Pelodiscus sinensis: one gene and its partner. The protein of the gene in region 2 interacts with the protein of the main gene of each other region in a biochemical or structural test. Links are inferred from orthologs where the notes say so. Each region holds a gene or a part of one and is shown on either strand. Other genes may lie near its edges.

The links.
Region 1: the proteins of CASK (region 2) and CASKIN1 interact in a biophysical measurement, tested with the Homo sapiens proteins (2 studies listed by IntAct, with this or other methods). The link is inferred for Pelodiscus sinensis from reciprocal best matches to the Homo sapiens genes CASK and CASKIN1.

Annotation. Positions count from the first base shown.
Region 1 is NC_134726.1:38,596,639-38,600,383, reverse strand, and holds the start of CASKIN1 (caskin-1), read left to right. Parts: upstream 1-898; 5' UTR 899-1,228; coding exon 1,229-1,322; intron 1,323-3,745.
Region 2 is NC_134711.1:194,356,663-194,360,407, forward strand, and holds the start of CASK (peripheral plasma membrane protein CASK), read left to right. Parts: upstream 1-1,502; 5' UTR 1,503-2,059; coding exon 2,060-2,118; intron 2,119-2,506; exon of another isoform or gene 2,507-2,521; coding exon of another isoform or gene 2,522-2,541; intron 2,542-3,745. UniProt on the Homo sapiens protein: Multidomain scaffolding Mg(2+)-independent protein kinase that catalyzes the phosphotransfer from ATP to proteins such as NRXN1, and plays a role in synaptic transmembrane protein anchoring and ion channel trafficking.

The DNA.
Region 1 (3,745 bases), on a different chromosome or scaffold from region 2:
CGACACCCCCATTCCATCCCCCAGTCAGCGTGTCCAGGGAGCCCCCCGGTGCACCGACACCCCCATTCCATCCCCCCAGACAGTGCGTCCAGGGAGCCCCCCCGGTGCATCGACACCCCCATTCCATCCCCCAGTCAGCGTGTCCAGGGAGCCCCCCGGTGCACCGACACCCCCATTCCATCCCCCCAGACAGCGTGTCCAGGGAGCCCCCCGGTGCATCGACACCCCCATTCCATCCCCCCAGACAGCGTGTCCAGGGAGCCCCCCAGTGCACCGACACCCCCATTCCATCCCCCCAGACAGCGTGTCCAGGGAGCCCCCCAGTGCATCGACACCCCCATTCCATCCCCCCAGACAGCGTGTCCAGGGAGCCCCCCAGTGCACCGACACCCCCATTCCATCCCCCAGTCAGCGTGTCCAGGGAGCCCCCCCCGGTGCATCGACACCCCCATTCCATCCCCCCGGACAGCGCGTCCAGGGAGCCCCCCAGTGCATCGACACCCCCATTCCATCCCCCCAGACAGCGCGTCCAGGGAGCCCCCCAGTGCATCGACACCCCCATTCCATCCCCCCAGACAGCGTGTCCAGGGAGCCCCCCAGTGCACCGACACCCCCATTCCATCCCCCCAGACAGCGCGTCCAGGGAGCCCCCCCAGTGCATCGACACCCCCATTCCATCCCCCCGGACAGTGCGTCCAAGGAGGCCCCCCGGTGCACCGACACCCCCATTCCATCCCCCGCCCGCCGAGGAGGGGGGCTCGGGTGCCCCCCGTGCGCCCCAGGGCGGGGCAGGAGCCCGCGGCGCAGGGGGTGGTCCCGGCCCGGCCGGCCTTGCACGGGGGGTTCCCGGGCGGGCGCCGCGGCCGCCCGGCTGGGCAGGGAGGAGCCGCCTCGGGGAGGCAGCGGCGAGCCAGCGAGCGGCGCGCGTGCGGCGGCGGCCCCAGCCCAGCCCCGCCATGGAGGAGCCGGCGCGGCGCAGGGGGGCAGGAGCCCTGCACCGGCGCCGCTAGCGGGGAGCGGCCGCGCCCCCAGCCCGGGGCGCCCCCGGGGGCTCCTGCAGCGCGGGCCGCCCCCCGGCTCCCCCCGCCGCGCCGCGCCCGGGCTCTGCGGCGCCCGCGCCTCCGAGCGGCCCCCGCGCCCCGCCCGCCGCAGGCTCGGGGCCCCGCGCCCCGGCCGGAGGATGCTCGGCCTCTGAGCGCGGCCCCGGCCCGCCGCGCCCGGCCGCGCCATGGGCAAGGACCAGGAGCTGATGCAGGCGGTGAAGGCGGAGGACGTGGGCACGGTGCAGAAGCTGCTGCAGCGGCCCAAGCCGGGCAAAGCCAGTGAGTGGCCCCGCGGCGCGGGGCGGGGACCCCCGGAGGCCCGGGGGGGGGGGCTGTGCATGCTCGAGGGGAGCCCCCCCTCTGGCCGGTGTGGGGCTGGGGGGGGCCCTGGCTCCTTGGGATTTGCCCCTCAGTGGACCAGTGTGCGGGGGGAGGAGAGGGGAGCCCCCCTCTGGCCGGTGTGGGGCTGGGGGGGGCCCTGGCTCCTTGGGATTTGCTCCTCAGTGGACCAGTGTGCGGGGGGAGGAGAGGGGAGCCCCCCTCTGGCCGGTGTGGGGCTGGGGGGGGCCCTGGCTCCTTGGTTTTTGCCCCTCAGTGGACCAGTGTGCGGGGGGAGGAGAGGGGAGCCCCCCCTCTGGCCGGTGTGGGGCTGGGGGGGGCCCTGGCTCCTTGGGATTTGCCCCTCAGTGGACCAGTGTGCGGGGGGAGGAGAGGGGAGCCCCCCCCTCTGGTCAGTGTGGGGCTGGGGGGGGCCCTGGCTCCTTGGGATTTGCCCCTCAGTGGACCAGTGTGCAGGGGGAGGAGAGGGGAGCCCCCCCTCTGGCTGGTGTGGGGCTGGGGGGGCCCCTGGCTCCTTGGTTTTTGCCCCTCAGTGGACCAGTGTGCGGGGGGAGGAGAGGGGAGCCCCCCCTCTGGTCAGTGTGGGGCTGGGGGGGGGCCCTGGCTCCTTGGGATTTGCCCCTCAGTGGACCAGTGTGCAGGGGGAGGAGAGGGGAGCCCCCCCTCTGGCTGGTGTGGGGCTGGGGGGGCCCCTGGCTCCTTGGTTTTTGCCCCTCAGTGGACCAGTGTGCGGGGGGAGGAGAGGGGAGCCCCCCCTCTGGCCGGTGTGGGGCTGGAGTGGCCCCTGGCTCTTTGGGATTTGCCCCTCAATGACCCGATGTGCGGGGGGCGGGGGTGTGGTGTGGGGCTGGGATGGCCCCTGGCTCCTTTGGATTTGCCCCTCAGTGGACCAGTGTGCAAGGGTGGGGAGGGGAGATTCCCCCCTCCCAGCTGGGGTGGCCCCTGGGGTCTTTAAAGGCTTGTTGGGATTTTCTCCTCACCAAACCAGTGGGGGGGCAGGGCGTCTCGCTGGGCTTGCACGCCAGAGCTGTCAGGCGGGGGGAGGGGTGCAGGGAGGGGAAAGCGGGCGCTCAGCTCGCCATCCTGCCGGGATGGGGTGTGCGGGCGCCGGCTGCTCTGTGCCACGGCCACTCGGTCCCACGGGCGCCCGCTTGTGCTGCGGCTGCATGCCTGCTAGGGTCACACAGCTGTCTGGCCCTTTCCCCCAGCCGCTCCCCTGCCTTCGGCAGGCTGGGGGGCAGGCCCCCGGATTTGATTGCAGCTGGCTTTGGGGGCAGTGGGGCTGCAGCCCTGCAGGGCCCTGCGCTCTGGGAACCGGGGCCCCGAGTGGCACTGCAGCTGGGTTTTGCCCAAACATGGACACAGGCTTTTCCTGCGTGTTGGGAGCGGGGCTTAGAACTAGAGTCAAGCGCAGAAAATAATTCAGCGCCACTCTCCCCGTCACCCCCTGCCCCATTTATTCCCTGCCTCATGCACCCTCCCCCCCCCGCCTGTCAGGCTCACATCAAGTGGGTGGGAGCGAGATGGAGCAGCAAACCAGGCTGTTTCATTCATGTGTAAGCCCCCAAGCAAGCAACCACTTGTCCTCCCCTTTCCCCCCTCCGGGTTCAAGCCGGAGCCCAGCCCAGCTGGTGGTGCGGCTCTAGTGTTTCAGGCAGGGATGGCAGCAGCAGTGGGTTCGTCCTGGTGCTGAATTAATTGAGGGCGGGGAGAGTTTGAAGTGGAAAGGGGGGAAATGAACCTGCAGCCTTTCGGCAAAGGAGCAGCTCTGGGTGCAGTCGGCTGGAGGCCAAGCAGGGCCCAGCCGGTGGGAAACCTCTAAATGTGGATTGGGAGCGAGGGCGCAGCACAGGCTGGAGCCAGGCAGGTGCTGTGGGGCGCCCCCCCCGCCCCAGTCCTGACCACAGCCACCGGTATAGTCTGGCGATGACCTTTGACCCGAGCTGTGACCCTGCTGGTGCCTTCTTAACCCTGACACCCCCACCCCTAGCTCTCGCTTGGCCAGGCCTCGCTGCTCCAGGCCGGCCCCCCAGGAATTGAAATGGGGGGTGTTCAAATTTACCGGGGGGGGGCTGTCAGGGTCAATGAGGGGTGAGACCGTGAGGGTGAAGGTGGGCTGTATGGCACCATAGTTCACAAAACTGGGGGGGTGTTGGGGAGATTCAGGGGGGTAGGGAAATCCCTGTGGCCCCCCCAACCCAGCTCTGCCATTGCACCATAGTCACGACCTACAGGTGCCCTATCTAAGCCCATCCTGCCCTGTCCAGCAGCAGCTATTTATGCCCAAGCTCTCTGGCACAAACGGCCCTGGGGAGATAAGGAGAGACCCCCTCCCCCCATCATCACATTTGCCTGGTGATCAA
Region 2 (3,745 bases):
GAGCTTTTGTGGGCCAGACCCATGAAAGCTCATCATCTAATAAACCATCTTGTTAGTCTTTAAAGTGCTATCTAGTCCTGCATTTTGCTTCAGCTACCCCAGACTAACACAGCTACATTTCTATTACTAGCTGATTTGGTTCACTATGGAACAGGAGTGTTAAGGTGGTGATACAGACATCTCATTTGTATTGGACTTGAGAGGATTCTGACTTGCATTTGAGAAATGGAGTAGTAATACTCCACAGACTACCATGCTACATCTCATACTTCCAAGCCCAGTTGACTGAGTTATTTGATACAGTCTAGGAATTACTTAGGCTTCTTATTATGGGTTTATTGCTGATGTCTCCGGAACTGACTGGGAAACTCCTGACAAGCACCAGACCATGTCAGACATTTACTGTTTTAAGATGCAGAATAGGTCCACAATGTATTTTTCGCTGAGACTGAGAAAGTAAATATGTACACCTTTGTCACATTCTCACTAGCATTCTCTTTACATCAGAATATATTTCTGATACTATCAGTGTTATGCAGCCTGACACAGTTCTGTGCAGTTTATGGCTCCCTATCAGTGAAAAACAGCAAGCAAATGGTCTGGTAGCACTTTATAGACTAACAAACATGTAGATGGTATGATGAGCTTTCGTGGGCACAGCCCACTTCTTCAGATGATCAGTTCTTATCAGTGATCAATTCTTATCAACCATTCATATTTGGATGAAACCTGAGTTGGAGAGGTTGACTTTTCCCCTTTTATAACTAAAAGGGCTCCACTGTGCCCTGTTTTAGGGGAACGAGGTTCTATACATTCCTGCTGAAACTGCTGGCATGATTGTTACTAGAAACGATATTGACCAACTTGTGGACTGGGAAACGAATGGCGCTTTAAACGTTCATTTCACTGGACTACGAGCAAAGCATTTGACAAGCAAAGGCGAGAGGCGGGGCTGCCACCTTAAAAGCGACTGCACGTCGCTGTGAACCTCCTTGCCACCTGGCAGCAGTCATTGAGAGTGAGATTAGCAAGGTCTTCTCTCCTCTTCCCTTCGGGCTGTTCCCGCGGGACGCCGCCAGCACTTGCTGCACGGTCCGTCTGGCTGGCTGGCTGGCTACTTCCTCGCCCGGCCAAGCTGCGCCCGTCAAACCCCCGCGTCGGGCGGAGACACCCTACGGCAGCTGCTCCCCGCGCCGCTCTACTATCCCCGGGCGCTGAGCGCACGCGGCCGCTGCTGCCGACAAGCGCCTTGGTCCCACGGCGGGTTCTGGGCGCGGCCTCCCGGCCCTACGACTCCCCCCTCCCCGCTCCTCAATGAGCCACACAGCGCGCGCCTCCTGCCTCAGAAACTAGGCAGGGGGATGGCCCCGCCCCGAGCTTCACATGGGAACCCGCCTACCCCCTCCGCCCTGCTCGACCCCTCCCCATGACGTCATGTGGCACCGCGGCGCGCCTGCGCACAGCGCCCAGTCCCAGTTTTCCCGGGGGGATAGTGGGCGTGGCTCTGCGCGCGTTTGTGGCGAGGGAGGGAAGAAGGTGCCCGCGTGCTTGCTTGGTGGGGGGCGCGCGCGCGCGCGCCTGCTCTCTTGCGTGACGGGGCTGGGGAAGTGGCCGTGGTGGCGCGCGCGCCCGCCGGCCGGCCGGTAAAGCGCTTTATCGCCGCCGTTAGCCCCGGAGTGCGGCTCGGGGTCGCGCCTGCCTCCCCTTCCCCTCCCCCCCTCTCTCTCGCGCGCGCGCACCGCCTCCTCCGCTACCCGGCCCCTGCATGGTGCCCGCTCCGCCCCGCTAGCCGGATCCGCGGCCGGCGAAGGGCGGGAGGGAGCGAGCGAGCGATTGAAGCGGGCGGGGCCGCGGGAGCCCGGAGCCAGCGTGAGGCGCGCGGGGCGGCCGCGGCCCGCAGGAGGAGCGGGGATTCCCGGCGTGGCCGCGGGAGCCCCCGGGCGGCGGCGGCGGAGGCTGGGATCGAAGGTGGTGCCCGACGGGGAGCGCGGAGGGGATCGTGCCCGCGGGCCCCCCTCCCCCGGGCCGCCTCTCCGGCGGGTCCCCCCCCGCCTGGACCATGGCCGACGACGACGTGCTGTTCGAGGACGTGTACGAGCTCTGCGAGGTGATCGGCAAGTAAGTTCCGCGGAGGCGGGGGGCGGCGGCAGCAGCAGCGAGCGGCCCGGCCCCTGCGCGCGGGGAGAGGGATGCTCCGCTCGGCGCCCACCTGAGCCGCCGCCGCCGTGCCCGTGTGTCCCCCGCTCCCCCCGCTACGTGCGGCCGCAGTGGCTTCACGGCGGCGCCCGCCTCTCGGAGCATGGGCGCGGAGGGGAGCAGCGACCCGGTCTCTCTCCTCCGGCCGCCGCGCTCCCCGGCTCCCAGCCAGGCTGCCGAGAGCAGCCGCCGCTTTCCCCAGCCCGGCTCTGTGGAGCAGGGAAAGGCTCCTCCGTAGAACCGCCTCTCCGTGGGGGCATCTGCGCGTTGGGGCGCCAGGTGCCTGCTTGTGCTTTGCTGCATAGTAACCAGCTCGCTAGTGGCAATGCCGGTGATGATACTCAGGTAATGCTCAGCTCCCGTGTGAGCCCCTTGCGTTGCCCACCGCCCGCTCGGAACAACGACGCAGGAAAAGAATTTGGCCTTTTGGGGGCTTATTATGCAACTGCTGTTAAACCGATGTTGAAGGCGTGCATCACACCCAAGTTGGGATAGCTGTTAACGTGGCACCGCTGATGGTTCACCAGTGGGGTAGGATGTATTGAAATTGACAGTTCGAGTCCTCCACCTTTTTTTTTATCGATCTGTGTTGGGTAATTATACTAGAAAAAATGCAGAGACTCAGTCTGATCGGGACGTTGATGGAAAATTGAAGCTGAAGTTCCCCCTCTTCTGTGACAGTCCAGTATTGAAACCCATTTTATCAGTCTTCTCACATTTCATATCTTCAGGGCATAGATGTTTTGGTTGCAAAATGGATATGAAAAGGACATGCACCATATTTGCAGTCTTATAACTTCCTAATTTTATGCATATTTCTTGTTCGAAAATTGAGGTTGTAGGTGTTTCAGCAGTGAAACTGTTTTCATTTTGTTGCTCACTGTTTTTAGAAGCCTTGTGTAAGGATCACTAGTTACAATATATTCTTGATTTAAAAAAAAAGTGTTCTTTTATTTTTTTAATGTTTTGCAATATGACTTACCTTAAATGTCAGTAATTGTTTGATTTGAAAACTAGAGCTAAAATACTCATCTTTCTCCAATGACAGTGTAACTCTGAGGAAACAATCATGTCAGTCTTAAGATCAGATTTCTTTGTTCTTAACTACAAATATTTGATCACTTTTCATTTTATTGTTTATTATAGGGCTCAATTGTCTTAACAGCACCTATTGCCTTTATAAGACACCTTGTCAGCTATAAAGCTTTAAAGAAGCTTTTGTTGGATAGCAGAAAAAATGGCTTAACTAATGCTGATCAGATGGTAAAAAGCTATGGTTAAGAAATTGGACAAAACTAATACCAGTAGGAAGAACATTTTCTGATCATGTGTTGTGTTGTCACAAGATTTCTTCAGGTGATAGTATTGTGTGTGAATTGTAGTACTCATACATAGTTATGGGTAGTAAAAAGGGCATAACAGGCATAATATATGTGTCTAGTGGTTATAGCCAACACTGTAAAATGACTTATTTTGTGTGCAAATACATTATTTAAATTTTCTAAATAGTTTTCTGATTCATGTGGTCTGTAAACCAATGTTTTTGTGA